Pelodiscus sinensis: one gene and its partners. The protein of the gene in region 2 binds, or shares a complex with, the protein of the main gene of each other region. Links are inferred from orthologs where the notes say so. Each region holds a gene or a part of one and is shown on either strand. Other genes may lie near its edges.

Region 1 (7,210 bases), on a different chromosome or scaffold from region 2:
GAAGGAGCTCTGATAGATTAGTGAATTAAGTCATGTTTTGACGTAGCACCAAATTGTTTCAATGTCATCAGTCTGGATTTAGTCAATATATATCAAAAGGCTTATGAATACACAACTGGATAGCTAATACAAACATGAATATGCTGCTATGGAGTTACAGTAATTCCTCATTTAACACGTGCCTGCTTAACACGTTTTCACGATAGCATGATTTATTTTTTTAGGAAACGTTTTTTGAATTACACGACCATCCCTGGAATAACACAATTTCCCCAACCGGCCTGTTGCTGGCGGTTGTGCGGGGCTTCCCCCGCCTCCCTGCAAAACGGCAGAGGGTTTGTCGCTCACCGCACTGTTCCCCGGCGACTCCCCTCACCGGACGCAGTGTGGGTCCTGGCAGACCGGTCACAGGGGCATACTCCCAACCCAATCCCCCTCCCCTCTCCTTCCCTTCCCCAGAGCCAAACACCTCCCCTCCCTGCTGTAACCCAGTCCCCTTTCTCCCCCAACCTTATGTCCCGGTCCCAACAGACACCACCGCTTGAAACGCAACCCCCACCTTTTCCATTCTTTTCAATGGGAAAATTGACCCCGCAAAACATGTTTTCACTTAACACGATCATTTTCTGAAACATATCTATAGTGTTAAATGAGGAATTACTGTACATTGATAACTGAATATTGATCTTTGTTGTGGGGTGAGTGGCTAACCATTTCCATGTTCCATTGCTTATCTTAGTTGCCACTTACTTTTTCAATCTACATTTTCACTACACCCATCCCCAGCTTGCCCCTCACACCTTTTTCATTGGTCTTCATTCCTCACCTACCTTCACTTTCTGCCAGCTATCTCTCATTGGCTCATTCCTAATGATTCCCTAAGTTGCACACTAAACCTTGACTTAGAATAAGGTCAAGTTTAGATCTGGCTTAATTAACACAAGTTACTCATCTTGTATCTAAACTGTGAAAATTGGTCAACATCTTTAGCTTGATTTCGGCTGGTTGAGTTAGTCCAAACATGGGCTAGCTAAGTCCATCCTAAACAAAAATGCTTTCTAATCTAAAACAAGGAATCATGACACAGGGGAGAAAATATCCATGACACACCCATCATGAGTTGGTGATTAAACTTCTTCACCTGCACAAACATATGGTACTGCCGTTGAAGCAAAATGCAGGACAATGTAGCACTTTAAAGACTAACAAGATGGTACATTGTCCTGCATTTTGCTTCAACTACCCCAGACTAACACGGCTACATTTCTATCACTATGGTACTGCCGTCAGAGAGTTTGTTATGGCAGCAAAAGAGTAGAAATCAGTGTTTCTCAACCAGTGGTACAGGTACCCTTGGGGTACTCAAGAGAAACGTGGGGGTTTTGTCAACACAACTGAAATTTGGAGAAAACTGAATTTGTTATAAGTTTTACAGCGCTTTATTATTTTTGTACTTTTTACACCCAAAAATGTCATTGCTCACCTGGCTACGATTAAGTTGTTTAATCAAATGTTGCTGCAATGGTAAAAAAAATTGTGTGTGTGTGTCTGAAAACTGTAGGTACTGGGGGTACTTATTTTTTTAAAGGAAGTACTTTATTACAAAAAATGGTTGAGAAACACTGGAGTAGATCATGTTCCTTCAATGGGTCTGGGCCAACACAAGTGGTAGGAACACTGAACAGAAACGAGAGGTACAGTAGTTGAACTGTAATCTCTTTGGGACAACTTCTTTTTGTTCTGTGTTTGTACAGCATCTAGCACAATGGGACTCTGGTTCATGACCAGATCACTAGAGCCCTTGTATGGCTGAACTGTCCCTTCACTATCTACATTGCTCTTGCCCCTTAAAATTGCTGAGGGAGGGCATAGTTCAAATAATTTGGTTCCATACACAGAAATAAGACTGAGGTCTCTGTTCCTTGGAGCTTCATTTTGCCCTGGGTAGCTAGGTAGTTTTCAAGTGAATGATTGTCAGTGCAGCAGTACAGAAACAATTCACAACATGAATCTCTGTACTTTGGGTGTCCCTAATCCAGAAACACCTGTGGTATGGACCCAGTCAAAGGGGAAGAGCAATCAGGTCTATGCCTGCTACTCCTCCTCTCCTCATAGCGGAGGGAAGATGCCTCATTGGAAGTGTCTCTTTATTGCTTTAAAAAAGACGGGGGGGGGGTAGAAGGGGATGCCTGTGAGCAGAAGGGGGCACAGAGCCAAGTAATCCCCCTCACTCCCATCCCCCTCACACGCCCTCCCTCCTAAGCCCTGCCCGAGCACCCTCCATGGGCCACACAAAACCTCCTCAATCCAACATACCCTACTGCCCAGGTTGGGGGATTCAGGAGGTTTGTACATCTAACACCCACTTGAACTTGACTGCCTGACCAACACACACACAAAGCTGGGTTTGCTTTTAATGCCACCTTTCCCCCCGCCCCCCCCCCAACAGTTTTTCTACCAGCTCATGTACTAGCAGCTCCCAATGACACAAAACACCTCGAACTGACTTAATAATTCACGGAGACTCCCCCCCCCCCGCCCCCCCGCTCTTCTGTCCGAGTCACCATTTTCCTATGAAGATGGCCATGGCACAAGCCTCCTGGGGGAAAAAACAAACCCAAACGTTTGCTCCTGAAACTTTCCCACCCTTCCGCGGGGCAGGGCGCTGGGACGGTGCGCGCGGTGGGGATGCTGGGAGCCGCTGCAGCGACCTGTAACCCCTGCGTGCGATGGAAAGGGGGGTGCAGCAGCAGCAGCCCCTCTGCCGGGGCGGGGGGGGCAGCCGCGCTCACCCCAAGCAGAGCCAAGGACTAGCAACGAGTCCCCGGTCCCCCCCCCCCCGCCAGTGCCCGGCTGCGCTTGGGCGCGGGGGGGTCCCCCAGCGCGGCGTGCCCGGGGCCGTCTCCAGCCTGTCTACAAAGCAGAGCGAGCCTCGCTGCCCAGCCCCGCTCTGCTCCCCCTTCCCGGCGGGTCTCTTACCAAAGGCGTCGCGGGCGGGGCAGCCCCTGTGCCTGGCGCTCCGGTCCGGCGGCGGGGGCGGCCGCGCTGTGCAGCCCGCGGCTTCCTCCGCCTCGGCCGCACGCAGGGAGGAGGCGTCGCGCCGCTCGCGCAGGGCCCGGCAGCGCCCCGCCTAGGGGCTCCGTCAAGGGACGGGACGGGACGGGACCCTCCCTCCCTCCCTCGTGGGGGTGGGGCTGGCTCCCCCCTCGCACTCACTGCGGAGCTGCCCCCGCTCCCCCCGGACCTTGCTCCCACCTTCCGCTCGGGGAGACCTGCTCCGCCTCCCCCCCCCCCCCCAAACCCGGACCATTTCCCGGGTCGGTTTGGCCAAGTTGCCAAACTTTGCAAAGGGCTCCCCGGCCGGAGGGCGGCCCAGCCCCTGAGGCCTGGCCACCTCTGCAGCAGGCGGGCCCCAGATGTGGCAGCTGCTCCACATTTTAACACTGGACTGAATCGCTGCGTGTTTGGAGTGGAAAATAGGCTTGAATGCCCTGGGCTGCTCTGGTGGCCTCCCTCTAAAGAGTTACACTGGACTTGGGAAAAGTACAGAGAAGGGCCATGGGCAGCAGTTGGAGGGTGGGCGACAGCTTCCATGCAAGGCCAGATGCTACCAGCCCAGACTGTTGAACTGAGAACAGAGAGGAGCCAGGAGAAGGTATATGGCTGAGATCTATAAAGTCGTGCTTTGTTGCCGGAGGTTCTTCTAGAGATGTGATCCCTTTTTGTATTCCACGAGTGGGTGTGCACACTCCTGTGTCCAGAAGTGTTTTTAGCAGGATGCATCCCCTCATGCTTGAAGCTGGTTGTGCAAATCAATGTCTCTCCAGTGGGCCTCTTATTATGTATTTGAATTCACAGTAAAGGAGATGAAGGGCAGGTCTTGGAAAACAAATGGGGACCATGCATCTCAAAGAACCTCCAGTTGAGGATAAGTGACCTCTTCTTTTTTCAAGTTGTGGTCCCTATCTAGGTAGACTAATTTAAATCAAGATTATTTATATCACAAAAAAATCATTGATTTAAATCAAATTACCAAAACAGCAATGACTGGCTGTGCCTACAGTAGGGATGTTAGAGTTTAATTAATTAATTGTTTAACCAATTAGCTGTTGCTTATTATTTAGTGGTATCAGTTAAATTCAGCTGGCTCACAGGGAGGCAGCTTCACTATGACAGGGTATGGAATGGGATTCCCTTGGAAGAGCTGAGTTATGCTGAAGTAAAATAGGGAATGGACTTACGGCATCTATGGCCAGGATGTTCCAAAATAAGGGTAATGTCTTATGTAATATGAATCAAAATTACCATCAGCAGCAACTGGCAAATCTAGATTTCTCTTATTGCAGCTTTCTGTATTGTATACTTGAGTGATAGTCTAAACCTTGTTAACTAATTAAACAAGCCATAAGGATTAGCTAAACTAAACTTTTTTTCCCCTAGCAACATCCAACACAGTAAACAGCTTGGGAATTTACTTGTCAATATCCACATCATTTTCTCCCAATAAGCAGTTTTCTTTATGATGTTTCGTTCTCACAACTAGGCCCTGCATCTTCTTGCACTGCTTACACTTGACACTCTCTCTTTTTTTACCCAGGGAACAAATTTCTTCAAACTATTCCAGATAGGGTCTCTCTTATGTCTAGAAGCGATGGCACTTGTCTGTGGCAAAAGTGGGGGGAATATAGGAAGCTATGAGTGTTCTGAATAATGGCTTCCTTTTTTTCCCCCAGTACTTTTCACTGTTCCTTTCTATGCTACCTCCATCCTTTCCAATATATTGTCTTTGTCTTTAAGACAATGGCTTAACTAACTGCTCTACTGTGCTTGGCTAAGCTCCACCATCATATAAGCACAGAACTAAAACAATCCTATCCAGCCAGTGGCTCTTTGCACTTTGTAGTCTGCTGAGAAACAGGAATTGAAAGCCCAGAACTTTTAAGAAGCGAGAGCTGGTAGTTAGACTGGACAGACTAGAGCAAGTAATTTATTTTTATGACAATGTAGGTGTAGGTATAGCATGCTTTTGATTAGATTAAACTGTAACTTATTTTTGAAATGAGAAATTGAGTATTTTATTGATTTAAAAAAATAAATCCAATTTAAATTAAAAAATCAGATTTTAAATTTAAAAAACCTGATTTATTAAAAAAAAAAACCCACTCTGATTTTTATCCACTCTGATCCCTTATGTATCCATCTTTTATGAAAGATACCTGAGTGATTAGCAAGCAGTGATCAGTGAAGAGGTAGATGTGAGGATGCCAGTGAAAGTGCAGTCAGCAGGACAAGCTGGCCCACAGCAGAGCCTGTAGCTACTACTTTCAGCAATGACATAGTAGTATGTGAACACGTGGATGGAATGCCAGGTTGCTACATGCCATATGTCTTGCCGGGAGTCATCTTTGAGGCAGGTCAGTGTGGCTGCTTGCACTCACGTAGAGTGCCCTATGTCTCCATCAAGTGGAAGTATGTTGATTGTGTGTAGCATTCGCAGATGCACCTGGAAACCCATTTGGAGATTCACTTGGATGAGAGGACTGAATCAGTTGTCAATGGCCACGGTCACAAATAGTTTTGGCCATGTGCAAAATGAGCAAGTCCTGTGGTAGTAGAATGTATGGTGGATATTGAGGGAGTACAGGACTCTGTCAGTGTGGGAGGTTTGTGGGCTTATGGCAGAAAACATGTAGGTGGATGCACTGATTTAGGTGGAACTTTAACACAATTTCGGGAGTTATTTAGGGTATAACCAAAAGAAAACTTTATTCTTGTGAGGAGGGGTTGCCAGGATGGATGGAGGGTATAAGCAGCAAGGATGGCTCTGTCTTCCCTGATGCTTCTGCCTCCATCAGACCCTCAGTTACAGGGTTTGGGGCAAAGGAAGTTTTTAATTTATTATGCCTCATGCAAGTTCTGGGGTTCCTGAGTAGATAGTATGGGCTATTCAGCTTCCTAGATTCCTCAGTAATTTCCCTAATCTACAAGAAGATCACAGAGGATATCGGGGCTTCTCTGGCTAGGCCAAGAGTATCAGGGCTTTGGCTATGTGAGGAAGTAGGAGGTCTTGTGGCTCTGGATGCAGTGGGGAGGGGGGGCAGGAGGTTTGTGGGCTCTGATTATGGTGGGGAGACAGGCAAAAAGGACAGAGGGGGCACCACCCATAGTACACTGACCTGTTTGGCTGAGGTAATGACTGTCAAGAATATCAGCTGCATGAGAGGTGGGAGCTTGTTGCCAGTGACTGGAAGGGTGGCTTTATGAGGGCTGAGAGAACAAGATTCAAGTCCAACTGGGGAGTAGGCTTGAGTACTAACAGGAAGGTACTGAGTAAACCCTTCATGAAATGGATGGTGGTAGAGTTGTATAAACTCAGTGGAGCTGTCCACAGTAGGGATGTGAATGGTTAACTGGTTAAGCGATGATCATCATCTTTACCAGGTGACGCTTACCAGTTATGGTTAACTGGCAGGGGCCTTCTGCTGCGGGTGGCGGGGGGCCTTCCAGCCTGGCCAGAGCAGTCCCCCTTGTGGTGGGCCCAGTCTGGTGCAAGTTGGGGCTGTTCTGAGTGGGCTGGAGTGCCCCTGCCCACAGCATGCTGCTCTGGCCCAGTTCCTCTGGCCTGTCCCCATTTAAACGGTTAATCGGTTAAACATAACTTTAAAAAAGTTAACTGATTAAACGGGATTTTACATCCCTAGTCCACAAGTGAGACAAAAGCACTGAGCACTGACAGGTAGATTCGTATAGAGCTAAGGGTAAAATTGAGAAGGTAGGTGAGGATGGTAGGCATAGATATAGCACTCAGTGGACGGTGAGGGCGGTGACCCCATGAGGTAAAGTGTCTCCATTTAGCTATGTAGCAGAACCTGCTGGATGCCCTCCTTTGCATAAGGATGTCTTACACCAGAGTGGAACATACCCTGTCTATCCCCAAACCTCATCCAAATAGAAGGCTATGAGGAGCAGATGGCCTAGCTTGGGATGCTGGACCTGGCCCCAATTTTGATTGAGGACATCAGGGAGTGTCCCGAAGCAGAGTGGTGTGCAGGTGAAGAGTCTGTGGAGATTGTGAACCAGAATTGGCATGGCCAGAATACAGAATCACAATAGCTCAGTTCAGGTGAATCTTGTGCAATTCTTGCAGGAGTGGAAATAGGGGGAAAGGCACATTAAAGATTGTCTGTTCAGGAAAGAAGGGAGTTGGCTT
Region 2 (7,392 bases):
CCAAAGAAATTTCATCTTCTCACCTGTGGGACTGTGTCTACACTGGTGTGATCTTGCGCAAAAGCGGCTGGCTATCTACTTGCTGCCTATCTACACTGGCCGCGTGTTCTTGTGCAAGTAAACTGACATTCTAATGTATGAAAACAGGGCTTCTTGCGCCAGAACTCCGACGCTCCCGCTCAGGAATAAGCCCTTTTGCGCAACTGTTCTTGCACAAGAGGCCAGTGTAGACAGGCAACATGAATATCTTGCGCAAGAAAGCCCTATGGTTAAAATGGCCATCAGAGCTTTCTTGCACAAGAGAGTGTCTACACTGGCAAGGATGCTTTTGTGCAAAAGCACATGCCCGTGTAGACACTCTCTTGCGCAACTACTTTAATGCAAGAACTCTTGCTCTAAAGAGTTTTTGCACAAGATCACGCCAGTGTAGACGTAGCCTGGGTGTTTTCTGGCCCCAAAGTATCAATTAGCCAACTGGCAGAATTCCTCCTTCAGGTTTGAGCCCTCACAATTAATGCTACCACTTGCATTCTTGAAATAGGACTGAAGTGGGGTTTAGGTGGTGCCTGGGACTCATGCTGTTCCTTGCACAGTGGTGAATTTCACAAAGAGATATTGAAATGGTTTGTCCCTTCAAACCCAAATCCTCCAGAAACTGCCAGACATCAGGGTAACTGCTTTATTAAGGCTCGCAACTTATTCTGACAGTGCAAAAAATATAACGCCCCTGAAAAATTGTTCCATTTGCCTGGTAAGGTTCATAAGAAACGCTATTAAGAAACATGGTTATTTAAACTCACCATGTTACATTAACATGGCCTTCCAAAGGAGAATCAAGTATTTCATCTGGACTGCAGCTGTGCTGAGCAGCATCCCATTTCACTATAGCAGCAAAATTGTGATAATTAAATCTCTTCTGAGTGTCCATTCCAGAGGAGATTGTCAGTGACAACCTCAAATTGCTCCCTCCTCCATCGCATTCCCAGGAGCTGCTCTTTATGGGCACCATCCATACTCCCTTCAGTCCCAGAAAAAAACTCATCCTGACATGGAGGAGAGCAGCACCGGGCTCAAATTATGCTACTAGAAGTGTCAGGTGAATACCTGATCTGTGACACTGTCCATCTCACCAATCAGAAGAGCTAAATGATGATCAGGAAATAAAGCCTGTTCATTTATTGGAGGAAGAGGTGCCCAAATCTATCTCAATTTTCTCTCATTTTTCCACAATCAAAAACTCATGCCACAGCGTCTCAGGTCTCTCCTTGGAGAGGCCAGCATTTTAACAAAGAGCCTCTTTGTTTGGCTCCTGGAAAAGCACAGAAATAGCACTGTCTTTGTGGCACCATGTGCCTGTAGACATACGGCTCGCAAGAAAGAAAAAGATATTTTACCAACTACTGTAGCTGAAGTATGAAAAGCCCCAGAGTTAGATTTTCAAAGGTGTTTAGGCACCTAAACATGCCAGTAGGCAGTCAGTGGGTTTTCAAACCACCTGGGCATCTAACACCCATTAATTTCAATATGAGGTAGGTGCCTCTGTGCTTTTGAAAATTCGATTAGGCATCTGCCTTTGAAAACCTGTCCCTAAAGGGTTTGCTTCACAAGCATATAAATACTATAGCCTGCTGCCAGAAGAATCTTCTAAACTTAAACTGAAAAGAGAAAAATTGCCTTTCAGTTACGTGATTCTGATTACATATGAATCAGTCAAGCTGTTTTCTTTTAGTAATGGTTATTTTTCAGGTAACAGTATATACAGACATGCACCACATACATACTGACGTGACATGCACACTCAAATGTGGTAGCACCTTTCTTACCTTGTCCTTTATCTATAAAGCTTGTTATTGTGTTGGCAAGTCCAGTCTCCAGTTTTACACTTCCATTAATGCCTTTTCTTTCTGCATCCGAGAGAGTCCTGTAGAGGGAGAGCATGTATTCATGTGGCGTTATAGGGGGGTGTTTGAAAGTCTCTTTAGGTTCCCTTTGTGTTACTGGCTCATTAGCCTTTTTGGTTTTATAAGAACTGGTATCAGTATTACTTGTGCTACTTTTTCTGAGTGAAGCTTTGATGCCAAGGTTCAGAGCTTTTGGGGTCACTGTCCTTACTCCAGATTGTCTGTATGGGGACTGCCCTACCTTTGTGTCTGTGGTCCCTTCTCTAGAGAGACTCTTCTTTGGTTCATTATTCTTTGCCAAGAGAGCTCCAGCTTGAACAGTATTGCTTTTAGCTCTAGCCTTTAAGGTCCCAGCACTATATCCATGGTTTCCAGTCCTAAAGGTACCTGCCCTTGGTGAGGGATTTGTCTGTTTTCCTTCTGCTTTTAACAATCCTAACTTGGATCCTGGATTACTCTGACCTGCTACAGAATTACTAAACAATACAGAAACTAGAACCAGATAGAACCAAGTCATATGCCAAAGCAGTAAAGTGAGAAAGTGCAAGATTTTCATCCTCTGGTCTTCCTTTGAATGCCACTAAAGAAAAAATCAGAAAAGGTTCCTCCAGTTTGGCATAAAAAAACATTAAAGAAATTAAAAACTGAAGTCAGCAGAAACAGATTTCTTTTAAGCTTAAAACATTTTAAATCTGTTTGTTTAACATTTGTATCCAGTCCCATAGTGGAAATGCTCATTTATTCCAATCCAATCTTCTCCTGTCCTCAGTTAGCAGCTAAAAAGAACTTGTTCTTGAAAAGAGAAGGTTTACCACCCCCTTTTCTTCTGTAAAACTGACTGAAAGCTTGAAGGAGACTTGTTTAAATCTGAGTGGGTTGTGTTTTTTTTTTCCAAGAAGGAAGAATGGCGTAATGCTGCCTCTGTGTTACAAGTTTCTTTTTCTTTTTTTCTTTTTAAGTTTTGAATCCCTTCCAGTGAAAATATTTCACACACACAGACCTGCAGGTGCTTAGAATTTTTTTTGCAAACCTGAACTCAGGAATTGGAAACGGAATTCCAACAAAAACCTATTTAATTACTCTCTGATGTCATGCTGTCTAAACTAATTTAACTGCGATATATTTCTTTAAAAAAATCCTCTTTACTCTTTGCATTAGCATGAGTCATACTCTGCTTCATGTGAAACAACTCTGTAGGATCAAAACTCCAGAGGATGCCATTTAAAGTGGCCATACAACCTTTACATTAGCCTTAGATGAACTTCATATTCAAATAGAACAAATTAACAGCATTAATACTGTATAGAATCTGTTAGAATAATCATATTCAAGTGTCTTACATTTCATATAGTTCTAGATTTGGAATCTTTTCTTTATAACTGCAACAGTGAAGTCACTTGGTCATTTGCTAACTGAAGGACTTTGTTAACAAAGCAAGTTTTTAACAAGGACAAAGTTTAATGTCTTGTACATCTACTCACACAATTAACATATTTTGAAAGCATTAATTGTTATACATTTAGAAAATAAAGTTAATTTCAGTTTGATGCAAACACTTGAACAAATGAACTGAAGCATCATGAAATACACTGGGATTGTTTCCCTGTTTTGTAGACAGCATTTCATTTCTCTTCAGATTTCTCCATTTCTGTAATATGTTCCTTGAAGTAGAACTTACCTACAAGTTCTGTTTCTGTCCAGAATTAAGCAGCAGTGTCCCCTGCAGGAAAATAGAGTTTTTGTCAACCTAAGGCACTGGGGGAGCCAGAAAAATAGGATTCTAAAACTACTGTTCACGGGCTTGGTCTATGCTAGCAACTGATGTGGGTGTAACTACATTGTTGTCCTGTTGTTCTAGGCAGCATCTGCATTATGCGCTGCAGCACCTTTTTACTGTAGACAAGCCCTCGTTCTTTTAATGGCTTCATGTCAATCCTTTACTAAATAGTGAAATGCGCAACTTTAATGATCCATTCTGAAACCTCCACAGAAATAGCATATAATCACCGTGTTGGGACTTAGCAATGGGAACTGTCCGATGTGTCAAACTAAACCAGTTTGTATTCTGATTTTAAAGATACTGCAGAACAAACAAATCTGTCTTGTAAATTGTAGAAAATGGGTTTCTAAATGAGACCTTGGGATGGAAGAGCTGTCTGAGATCAAATAAGATTGAACTCAATCCCTTGCCCCAGAGTGAAACTGAACTCAGTCCCAGCAATCTGAACTAGGTGTACAGCTAGTTCGGATTAGGAAGCCTAATACGAACTAGCTAGTTCGTGCCGCGTGTAGCCGCGCGGCATGCAGTCCGAACTAGCCGGCATTTAAAAATGGCGCCGGCCAGCTTTATGCAAATGAAGTCCGGGAAATTCAAATCCTGGGCTTCATTTGCAACTCCGTATGACTACATTACCCCCCCTAATTCGAACTAGGGGGGTAGTGTAGACATACCCTTATTGAGGGGTCATACAGGCCAAAATGGAGAGAGGAGGCAAAGGATGCTCAGGAAAAATATCCAGGGGCCAGCAGAGAAGAAAGGCACCCATGCAGATTCCTTTGGGGTACTTCCATTTAGCCAGCTTGGTGAGTCCAGGCCCCTTGAGTCCCTGGATAGAACTCCTTCTCTGCCATGTTGTGTCTGATGGTCCCTCGGATGGAACTCTTAGGCACTTGTGTCCAATGGGCCTTGGATGGGGACCCTGGCCACAAAGCCATTGGATTAAAGCCTTACAGCTATTCAGTGCTGACCATTCTGACTCACTCTGTGACCCCATTCATATTTAATTTTTATATCAACTGGAACAGCTTCAATTGGAGAGGTTGAGAGGGTTCCCACAAAGTACCGCATGGGTCCAACCACAAGGTAGAAAGGCCTGATTTGGTAGCTGCTGAAGCCCTACACAGACAGCTGTGTTTGTTACTTTTTGCATTTTTGTTTCTTGTTTTAACATTGCTGCCTCTTTCAGTCCTTCACCCTTTAGAAGCCCTGCTGGTAAGGTACAGAAATGCTGCCATGGCAGTACTTTGATGTTGCTGCCCCAAAAGGGGCAGAGAAACACTGCCACGGTAGCACTGCCGGACCCTAAGGCTGGGCCGCTGATGGGGGGAGTAAAAGGGGGTGCTGCCCCAGTACCTGGTAATTGAAAAGTGCCCAGGACTCTCGGCCACCACAGAAGCAGCTGGGAGCCCCAAACCCTTCAAATTACTGCTGAAGCCCTGGGGCACAAAGGGATGTCTGGAGGAGCCTGCCCCTTCTGCCCAATGCCCTACCCCTCTGGGGCCCCAGAGCCGCCCAGGACCCCGGCTCCAGGTGCACCAGTAAGTCCTCCTTTTACTTTCACCCCCCGCAACAACAACAACCAGAGGTTTTCTATCTGATGGAAACTGTGAAGCTGGTAACCTTTCAACAATTCAGCCAGCTCATCTGAGCAAGGGGTGGGTCCATCACCAGCAGGCTATGAGTGCGAAAGAGGCAGTCCACCTCTCAGAATATTTTCTGGAAGCAAAATTAGATTGTGAGTTGTCAGGAAAGCCCAAGAAGCCCATCTCTGCTACGTTGGAGTCCATGAGAGGATGGTTACAGCTTGCAACAGCCCCTTTGGACACAACTTCAACAGGCACGGGACACATTGGCATTCTCCCCAGGGATGGCCTTGGGGCTGAATAATATGCCAAAGATCACACTTGGAGGAATGAAAAGAAGGGAGGAGGTCCCATAATTTGCATTACTTGTGGGCAGGAGAAGGCCACGGGTAAAAAGATTGATCTCAAATGCAATGTGACTGTTCCCAGGCCTGTGCCTCACAAACCCAGTAGAAGCTTTTCAGCTCAAAGGATAACATTATTCCAGTCACAATAGATGGAAACACAATGCTGGGCCTGGTTTAGGAGAGACCAGAGGTGAAAATAAGCTGGGATAGGGTACTGGTAAGAAAGTGGCTGAAGTAGCTTTAAGGCTCTGTCTACACAGCCAACTTTAATGCACTGCTGCAGCAGGGCTTTATTGTAGCTGAATAGTCACAGCTCCAGCACTGAGAGAGATCTCCCAGTGCTGTAATAAAGCCATCTCTATGAGGGGAGTGACTCCCATTGCTGAAGCAGTGTCTACACTGCCACTTTACAGTGCTGAAACTTGCATTGCTCACGGGTGGGGGAGGACACTGAGTGGTGAGGAGCCCCAGAGAGCAGGAAGGTGAGTAGCAGTGGCCATGTCAGCACCCTGGGAGCCACCTCCGAAGGGTTGTCTGTGACTGCACCTCGTCACATCGTGAATTAAAGTCATGCAAAGGGAACCAGGAAGCTAAATGTGTAGGAGTGGAGGTGGGAAAGTGGGTTGCAACACGACTGTACAGGTGAGAAATGTAGCAATTACTCAGCCCTCTTCTTTAAATCTTTGGGTACGTCTACACTACAGCACTAATTCGAACTAACTTAGTTTGAATTAGTTAATTCGAACTAAGCTAATTCGAACTAACGCATCTAGACCTAAAAACTAGTTCGAAATAGCGTTTTGCTAATTCGAACTAGCGCGTCCACACTGATTGGACGCAGGGGCGCATTTAAGGGCGGCTGAAACCGGTTCTGGCAGGGCATCAGGTCAGTAATTGCGTTGTGTGGCTGCTGTCTGAGGCTATCTGAGGCTTGTGCTTAAAGGGACCCCCCTGGACAGCCGGTTCTCAGCTTTTCCTGCTTGCTTGCCATCCTCGCTGAGGGACAGCAAAGCGTTGGTCTCTGTGCCCGTCTGTGTCGGTGCTTCCCTTCGGGGCCGCCGCCGCAGGTGGCAACATGGAGCCAGAGCTCACCCTGCACCTTCTGGTGCACTTTCTGGACTTGCTGCTGCAAGCCTGCCAGCAATGGCTCGAGGCTGCCTGGCACCACCTGGTGCACGTCAGCCCCCTGCCTCTCCACCTGGCCGCCCTGGGGGCCGTGGAGGAGCCGTGGCGGCGCCCCGGCACCGGCGTGCCCCGCCGCATCTGGCGTCTGGACACCAGCAGCGACTGGTGGGACCGCATCGTCCTGGAGCGCTGGGAAGTGGACCCATAACTTCAGGATGAGGAGGGACACCTTCCTGGAGCTCTGCGAGTGGCTTGCCCCTGCTCTGCGCAGAAGGGACACTCGCATGAGGCCCGCCATCCCCCTCCAGAAGCGGGTGGCCATTGCCCTCTGGAAGCTCTCCATGCTGGACAGCTACCGATCCGTCGGGAACCAGTTTGGCGTGAGGAGATCCACCATCGGAGCAGTGCTCATGCAGGTACGGCACTCGCCGGCCACAACGCCAGAGGAGGAGGGGGGCTGCAAGGAGGGGATGGGCCACCCCAGGGATAAAGGGGGGGGGCGGGAGGAGGCGAAAGCGCCCCGCACCGGAGGGGTCGGTCTGTCCCGGCCGTACTACACGCCGCCAGGGGGGTTGCTTCCAGGAGTGGGGCGCGGGGCACTGCCAGGGCACGAATGCTCCCAGCCACCTGGGCGCCCCACTGATTGGCGCTTTGCT
Region 3 (7,880 bases), on a different chromosome or scaffold from region 2:
GTTCATATTCATAATAATGCATCAGTTATTAGAGGAATTTAATAATGGGAACATGTTAGTAGATGAAATTTCAAGACTTTGAAATAAGGATATAAGGGTCATAGTAAATAACACCCCCAAACTATTATTATATCATATTCATTGTGAAGTATATACAATTAAAATTTTGTATAACCAATAGCCTTTAGAAAATTAATTTACTGTGTGTTACTGTGTTTTAAAAGACAAAATACTTTCACATGAAATATCAGTATCGCATAAAGATAACTATGTTACATGGATATCAGCTAGTAGAGCAGCACTAGCTGACAGTTCAATTGAAAACTTACTCCTGAGTGAAATAAACACAGAAACTGCTAAGTGGAAAAAACTCCTTGAGCACATATTGAACGTCATTCTTTTTCTTTCTGAATGGGGATTGGCTTTGTTTGGTTCCAGGAAACAATTGGTGACTCTACAAATAGAAACTTTCTTGGTATCCGTGAGCTTCTTAGCAAGTATGACACAATCAGGCCATTTTAAGTGTGTTTGTGAATCACATGAGAGATCGGAAAATGTGTGTAAGTCTATTATCTGTCTACCAGAATACAAAATGAGTTTATTGAGCTATGTGGGATATTTGGGCAAATAACGGTTCTTGAGGAGATATGACATGTGAAGTGCTTTTCAATTATTATTGATTCAACTCCAGACTGTTCTCATAAAGAAGAGACAACCTTGGTTTTTTGATATGTTAAAATTGCAGGAAGTTCAAAGATTTCAATTGAAGAACAATTAATTTTGTTCGATAAGTTCACACAAAAAAACCAAGAAAAGAAACCGCCACTTGTGTATTAGAAATTCTGGAAGGCTTCAAATTAAATTTTCAAGTCTGTATTGGCCAAGACTATGACAATGGATCCATTACAGCTGGGAAGTGCAATGGAGTACAAGCAGTCCTTCTTGAGCAAAATCCAAACTGTATTTTCTCCGTTATGGCAACCACACACTAAATCTTGTCAGTGTTGACTGCACTGAATCATGCAAGGAAACAATGACATACTTTGGAACAATTGAGTGATTGTACAACCTCTTCAGTAGCAGTCCTCAGAAATGGGAAATTCTGAAGCAGCATCTGCCTGTTCCCCTTCACAGCATGTCAACAACAAGATGGTCAGCATGAATTGATGGCATTAAACCAGTTGCACAGCATTTGGATTCTGTGAGAAATTTTGTGAGCTTGAATCTCTTACTCTCAGGGCACAGGCTTGCACTAAGTTTAAATCAATTCAGAAGTATACATCCAAATTTGAATGCATTTTAATATCGTCCATGTGGATGAAGCTGCTAAAAAAAATCCACAAAACTAATCTTGTAATTGAAGCATGCAATGCTATTATATGTTGAGAGGGATAACGTTGAATGGTTTCTTAAAAATATTCAAAAGATTCATGATCCGTGGAATGCAATCCTTTCTGAGTCCAAATCAGAAGCACAGGATATTGACATTTCATCTGAGTTTTCCACAAGCTAACATCTCAATCGGATGCAGAAAGGCAGTATCGAACCAATGTTGTTGTTTTATTTGTTATTGTTGACTTCATCAAACATGGTCTTATATGTTGATTTGAGTCACTGCAACAAATTTGTACACTTTTTGGATTCCTCTGGGAATTCAGAGAACTAAGTGATGAAGATCTATATTCAGCAGCTGAACAGTTTCAACAAAGGTTCAACAACAAAATTTCAGGAAATCTCTATGACGAGATTGTTTTCCTGAAACGTATACATTCCATCAACTTTAAATCGGACTGCAAGCCAAAAAAACTGCTTCAAGAAATGTTCAATCTTGGCCTGTCAACTGTATTTCCCAATATCACAATTGCACTATATATTTTTGTCAGTCTCCCTGCATCAGTGGCTTCAGGTGAATGCATATTCAATGTGTTAAAACAAGTAAAGAACTATCATCGTTCTACAATGGGACAAGAACATTTGAATGGGCTCTCAATGCTTAACATTAACAGTGATGTTGCACTTAAATTAGATTTTTCTTCAATTATAAACAATTTTGCACACAACAAAACCAGAAAAGTATTCCTAAAATGAAGAGTTTTACTTGCAGTGGAAACTCACAATTAAAGTTACATTTTAAATATATATGCTATTGATATAATGACTTAATTGTTAATAAATAAATGTTTCAAGTGTTCATTTTCATATATTCTTTTGATTTTAGTATGACCCTGTAAATGAGAAGTTAAATACATCTGCTACCTGGGGGTGGAGCCTCTAAACTCAAAGTGGCTTGGGCCGCTGTCATTCTCTGAGAGGGCCTAGCAGACAGTGGTAATGCCTACTGAATGTGGACCTTATGCTTTCCAGCATCTAATGAGCTCTCTTCACACTTGTGTTTTGCCAGACTATGGGTGCTCCTGTGCTTTTATTATATGAAAATGTATCAGAAAAAATACACTTCTCTGAATCCTAGGGATGTTATGGGGTTTAATTAGTGTTTGAAAAGCAGCACCTTCAGATTCTTAGATGGCAGTTGTGTCATAAATGTAAAATATTAACTACCTTAATATTGGGATCACAGTGTTAAGAGTAAACTTCAAATAATAAAGATCACTGTGCATGTAAAGAACAGTTCAGATGCCTGTGCCAATGTAATTGTGGGGCTTATGTCCTGTCTGGTTCTCCAGCACCCAAGGACCTCCCTGTAAATAATTCACCTAGTGTCTAATGTGCCGGAAATCAGACAAAAATATAGGAGGGGCAGCTGTCCTAGCCAAGTTGGGTTGGCAAAAAGCTAAAGGGATCTGTTCTAGTAAAAATTAAAAGATATTTAATTGTTGTATTTATGTTAGTCCTGATTTCTAAGGTAACTTCTAATATATATTGAGCAATGTTTCTGGTAAGAAGAAAGGGACCATGCCTTTGCTCTGTTATCTCTGTTGCATTGGCAGAAACTCAAGAAAGAAAGAATAGTAAAGGACTGGGATTGCATTAGAAAACATTCTCTCAGGCCAGCTTTCTGGGATTGCTTTGAACTTTTACTCATCATTATTTCATGTGCCGAATTTTCTTTGTGCCTGTGGAAGGAGGATAGGGGGGAGAAAAACACACGAGACTTGCCTTTAGGATTTTTAATCAAAGCTACTGCTCTCCTGATTGCTGCAGTGGATTTTCAAACGCCAAAGCAAGTGGGTAAATTAAAATCCCATGTTCCTGTGGGCTAGGAACAGAGCTGTTTGAAATGTTCTTTAACGAGAAGAGCATGTTCCTATTGTTTTTCTTGCCCGAGCCGAGAAGCTCCAAAGAGATCCTATGTCCGGGAATACCTGGCAAAGGGAAACAGAAGTGAAATTAACTAAGGGGAGGGAGAAAGGGCTGGGCTATAGTTGGTTGCGCTCTCTTACCAAGTTGTTTTGGGTCCTGATCCAAACACCATCGAAGTCCTTGAGGAGTTTCCATGGGTTTTCAATGGGCAATCAGTCCCTCGGTCGCTAGACTGAGCAAATGAGGGACCAGGAATTCTCACAGGAAAAGGAGGAAAAAAAGCTGCTAGCATCTCGCAGTGCATCTGCTCAGTGCTTGAAACGCACAGTCCGGAAAACAAGAAAGCCAAATTCAGCTTCTCCGACCCATGCTGTGGCAACTTAAATGGCGCTATTCTGGTTGAAAAGGAGATGGGTCTGAATGAGACTTTCAGGGCTGGATCCTGAGACAACACAGTAGCGTTTATAATTCATCCCTGTTCTCCCCCCTCCCCATAGTTTAGCGAATTCAAAACAAAATGAGCCGAAGGCCAAATTTCCCTCCAGTTAAATGCAGCCGCTTATTTACTAGGTCAGATTTTCAGCCAAACATTCTGCGCCGATTCTTTGTTGTTGTTATTTGGATTCACTGTTAGCTCAAGAACTGGACAACAACGTACATAATAAAACGCCATCAGGAGAGGGATGGAAAACAGATTGGCCGCTGGCAGCAAAACATCTGGAGAAACCAGGCAGAGGCCTATGGGGGGGAGGAGGGGGGGAAGCTTGTTGAAACTACTTTGCATGCTCAGGTTATAAAAGGGCTGTTAATACCCCCAAAATAAGGGGGTTGTTGGAGGGCTGGGGGAGGGGGTTTCATATCGTAATTCACTCCCACTGCCTACGTTTGCTTGCTGAGGAAGTCTGATACGATGTTGTGAACAAGGCTGGGGAGATTGTAAAAGGCAGCCTACATCGAGGCAGGGCTACGTCGGCCAGTAAAAGGCTCCTTTGTGCAAAGCCTTGACTGGGAAGGGCTGGCGCGGCCATGCCCAGCTGATCAGCCAGATGTGCAGGTACATTCCAGCGGTGGCAGGAGCCACTGGCTGGGGGCGGAGGAACTGTGCTGCGGCTCCCGCCCTCCCCGGAGAGAGAGCAGCTTCCCAGGAGGGAAGGGGGAATTATTTTGCACTCTCGCTCGCTTTCTTTTCACCCCCTCCCCTCATTTGTTTGCTATAGGTGGCGGAAAGATCACGCTGTCATTAAAGGCACATCCCCTCCTTTTGTGCCGGTGCCAGGAAGAGAGAGACAGACAGACACTCCTAGGGGCTGGGGGAGCTCACTGGCGCTCCAGATGAAGCCGATCGCTCGCCAAGGTGTCGCTATCAGTCCCATCTTCCAAGGGGAAAGGGGCTGATCCGTTGTCCCGGCCCTCTCCCCCCCCCCCCCCCCTCCGACAGCGCCGACGGACTCGCTGTGCCATTCTTGCTGCCATTTTTCCCAGCTGGCAAGCACCAGGGATGAAGACCCGGGGATGTTTGTGGTGAGTTGTTTGTGTTGTTGGTCTCGGGGTTGCGTGTGTGTGTGTCGCCAATCCACCTGTCTCTCGCTTTCGAAGGAGCCACCCGTGGCAAGGAAGGGAGGCGCGCTCACCAGTGTCCCGCCGGGCATCTGAAATCGCTCACATATCTGCAGATTACAAATTGCATCTGATAAAATAAACACCTCTTGCTCCACATTGCTTTCCACTGATGTAACCCCGGAGCGGCTCGAGAATACAGTGTAGCTCCCCAGCGCTGGGCTTTCAGCTGACAACAAGAACATCCGAGGGTCAGTTATGAGCATGTAGTGGAAGAAAGGGCAGAAGGCCCAGGGGGGCACTGATGGAAACTTACTCCGAAGGATCCCAAGACTAGTCCGTGTGCGCGCGTGTTTCTGTGTTCCAGACAACTGCGGGCTTAACGAAGCCCTCTCGGGGCCCGGGGAAGGGAGAGCTCGGCAGGTGTGTGCTTCCCTCTTTGCAGTGACAGTTTCTCCGGTTATCAGAGAACTACATGCAAGCCCAGGCTGCGGTAGGAAAGCGAAAGTGTAACTGACGGCAGTAATTGCATTGTCTGGAAAGTGGGTGGGTGGGGAGAGAGTCCTGAACACTTTAGAGCTTTCTTGGGACTTTCTGGCTAACGAGAGGTTAATTTTGTTTCGGAGGGACGATTGTGTTGGTTTCCTGAGATACATGGGCAGGAAAAGCATTACCTCCTCGGTTCTGGCAGGCGGCTTCCAAATGCTTTCCGCACCTGCTACTTTAGTCAGTATCTGCAAGTCTAGGGCCCCATCAATTTAGGGCCAAGTAACGAACGCTTTCTGTGCCTTGCGAAGACGGACCTAACGTTTTTAATGATCTAATATACAGGTCCTAATTTGCAAAGTATCCCGTCCTCCAGGAGAACATGATGCAGCGTTGACTCCAGCGATCGGCGCCGCACCCTAAGGGTTAAATATGATGTAAGTACAAAAATATTTAGAAGTCGATTTATTATGTACTTATTGCTGATACTTTGCCTTCATTACAGTGGCAAAAGAAATAGTGGGGAATATGACGACTTGTTTTGCAAATTGAAACCCCAGGTTTCAGACCCCGCTATTCTTCCTTCACATGCCAATATAATAAGCAGACCAAGAGGATATTTGTGTTGTGCTTCTGCAACTGAGATTATAGCAGTAGGGGAACAGTTAAGGCATGACGCATACCTTTTGGAAAATAAACCACAGGTTGTTTAAAATGCAGTAATGCTTCTTGCATGTGTTTGACTTTTTCCCAGTTACACGCTCATTAAATTTCTCTTTTTTGTTGGGTCACTGCTTGTTTTGCCATTTGTTTTCCTTTTTGGGGGAAAAGAAAGCGAGAAGGAAAGGTCCGAGGCTTTAAAAAAATCTTGACTTATTTTCCTTTTTTACATTTTCAACTCACTACTATGATCCTCGTTTAGATGATCTTTGGTGGGTTATAAAATTAAATGTACACCTCAAAAATCCAGAGACAAATTTGATATTGTTTATAAAAACTGTGTACGGAATTCAAATAATTAATAATTAACTTTTACTATGAAATACAGCGCACACTAACGATGACCTTTCTATGCAAATAGCTCTGCTAATTTTAATATCCTGACACTTGAGACTCTGAACTATTCTCGTAACAACATTGTCTTCTGCTCAAGGATTATACATTTTTATAATAACAAATATGCAAATTTTAGGCATCTGAATCTCAGGCTTGACAAATTTTACAATTAAACAATAAAATGTACTTTCTCCTTTGAATGAACATAGTTACATTTCATAACCCAAAAATTCGGAGTAACTCAAGTGCGCCCTCTATTTGCCAAAGAACAGAACTGACGAACTCAGCAAAAGAATTGGAACAATTAAAAGTCAGCAGCAGGCAAAGATGCCACCGACTTCAGTGAGAATATCGCCTCAGGAGGGATTTCAGGATCTGATTTTAGCCTGGTTACTAATTTAGGAAAACCCGATATTAAAGCGGTAACTCTAGAAAGTCAACACAAGCAAAAAAACCAAGTCACTTTGAGTTTTTTTGGCACAGAACTCCGAAGAACTAGTCTTTCATGTTTCTTTAATGGGTCACCAAATGGGAGAAGTTAAGGATGGAGTGAAAGATCTATTTTCGAAATTCTTGATTTTTATCAATTTAAATCACGTTTTGTTTTTGTTTTTTTTTAACTAAAAAGAAAATTGGGTTAGACACCTGATACCACAATTGCCCCCAAGGCAATGGTTAAAGTCCAGCTTTGTACAGAATACATCATTCCTATGTGGTGTCACTATGATGATATTGTGGATACAACCTAAAAGGCTTGAATCATGCCCAAGGGAGAATCAGCTCTTTGTCACTGGCACAACTACAGGATACAGTGATGAGAAAAGACACTGTCAACATGGTTAGTTTAATATATAATTAGGTTCTCTTGATAACTTTTCCATGTGCATTTGCTAGGAATTACAAAGACAGTCATAGATAACTTAACAGGGTAGTTTGTACAGATAAAGCATTTTTGTAGGGAAAAATGGATTAGTCCAAGAAATGACTGTTTCTAAACTTTTTTTTTCATACTACTGAATTATTTTTTCCCATGCTTCCTAATGCCTTTGGTTGGGGTAGAGAGATGGGGAGGGAGAAGGTGTATCACTGTGGTCAAATTTCAGTACAACTTAACAAAGAAAAGAAGGTGAAGGAATTGCTGTGGATCTGATCACTGCAAACTTCAGACCAAACACCAGGGATGCTGGAACAATTTGTGTAGTGGGGGTGCTGACAGGTGTTGAAACACACTATAAACCCTGTTTATAATGGAAACCACTTCAAGCCAGCAACACCACCTTCACCTCCTAGTTCTAGCACCTATGCAAACATCCTTCATTATATGGGGCATGTTGGATAGGCCTACTCATTTTCACCTTATTATTAAAAGCACAAGCACTAATTACAGAATCCCCATTTTCCTCTGTAAGCTAAATCCTCAACACAGTGCAGTCTTGGGGGTTGGAAGAAAAGGGGATAAGGTATGTCTGCCTGACTACACCAAAGAGAAATGTGGGTCCTAGTGAAAGTGGATTTAAGTG

Evidence for each region. Proteins that work in one complex are often made in the same cells at the same time.
Region 1: the proteins of GDF5 (region 2) and TWSG1 are in contact, whole or in part, in a crystal structure (PDB 8BWL), measured with the Homo sapiens proteins. The link is inferred for Pelodiscus sinensis from reciprocal best matches to the Homo sapiens genes GDF5 and TWSG1. Residues at the interface, in NP_000548.2 of Homo sapiens: Glu434, Phe435, Pro436, Ser439, His440, Glu442, Asn445, Val448, Ile449, Leu452, Ser455; in NP_065699.1 of Homo sapiens: Cys26, Lys28, Cys31, Ala32, Ser33, Val35, Ser36, Leu39, Ile40, Cys44, Gln45, Cys46, Arg47, Cys73, Val74.
Region 3: the proteins of GDF5 (region 2) and RGMB are in contact, whole or in part, in a crystal structure (PDB 6Z3J), measured with the Homo sapiens proteins. The link is inferred for Pelodiscus sinensis from reciprocal best matches to the Homo sapiens genes GDF5 and RGMB. Residues at the interface, in NP_000548.2 of Homo sapiens: Leu396, Arg399, Phe435, Pro436, Leu437, Arg438, Ser439, Asn445, Val448, Ile449, Leu452, Ser455, Met456; in NP_001353437.1 of Homo sapiens: Gln57, Thr60, Phe63, Val64, Thr67, Ser68, Leu70, Asn71, Tyr88, Leu103, Val104, Ser107, Ala108, Leu110, Gly111, Ile112, Asp114, Leu115, Gln118.

The regions. Positions count from the first base shown.
Region 1 is NC_134712.1:85,173,538-85,180,747, reverse strand, and holds the start of TWSG1 (twisted gastrulation protein homolog 1), read right to left. Parts: upstream 3,145-7,210; 5' UTR 2,980-3,144; intron 1-2,979. UniProt on the Homo sapiens protein: May be involved in dorsoventral axis formation. Seems to antagonize BMP signaling by forming ternary complexes with CHRD and BMPs, thereby preventing BMPs from binding to their receptors.
Region 2 is NC_134728.1:31,475,620-31,483,011, reverse strand, and holds the start of GDF5 (growth/differentiation factor 5), read right to left. Parts: upstream 3,303-7,392; 5' UTR 2,458-3,302; coding exon 1,824-2,457; intron 1-1,823. UniProt on the Homo sapiens protein: Growth factor involved in bone and cartilage formation. During cartilage development regulates differentiation of chondrogenic tissue through two pathways.
Region 3 is NC_134716.1:69,370,636-69,378,515, reverse strand, and holds the start of RGMB (repulsive guidance molecule B), read left to right. Parts: upstream 1-4,736; 5' UTR 4,737-4,782; intron 4,783-5,649; 5' UTR 5,650-5,736; coding exon 5,737-5,741; intron 5,742-7,880. UniProt on the Homo sapiens protein: Member of the repulsive guidance molecule (RGM) family that contributes to the patterning of the developing nervous system. Acts as a bone morphogenetic protein (BMP) coreceptor that potentiates BMP signaling. Promotes neuronal adhesion.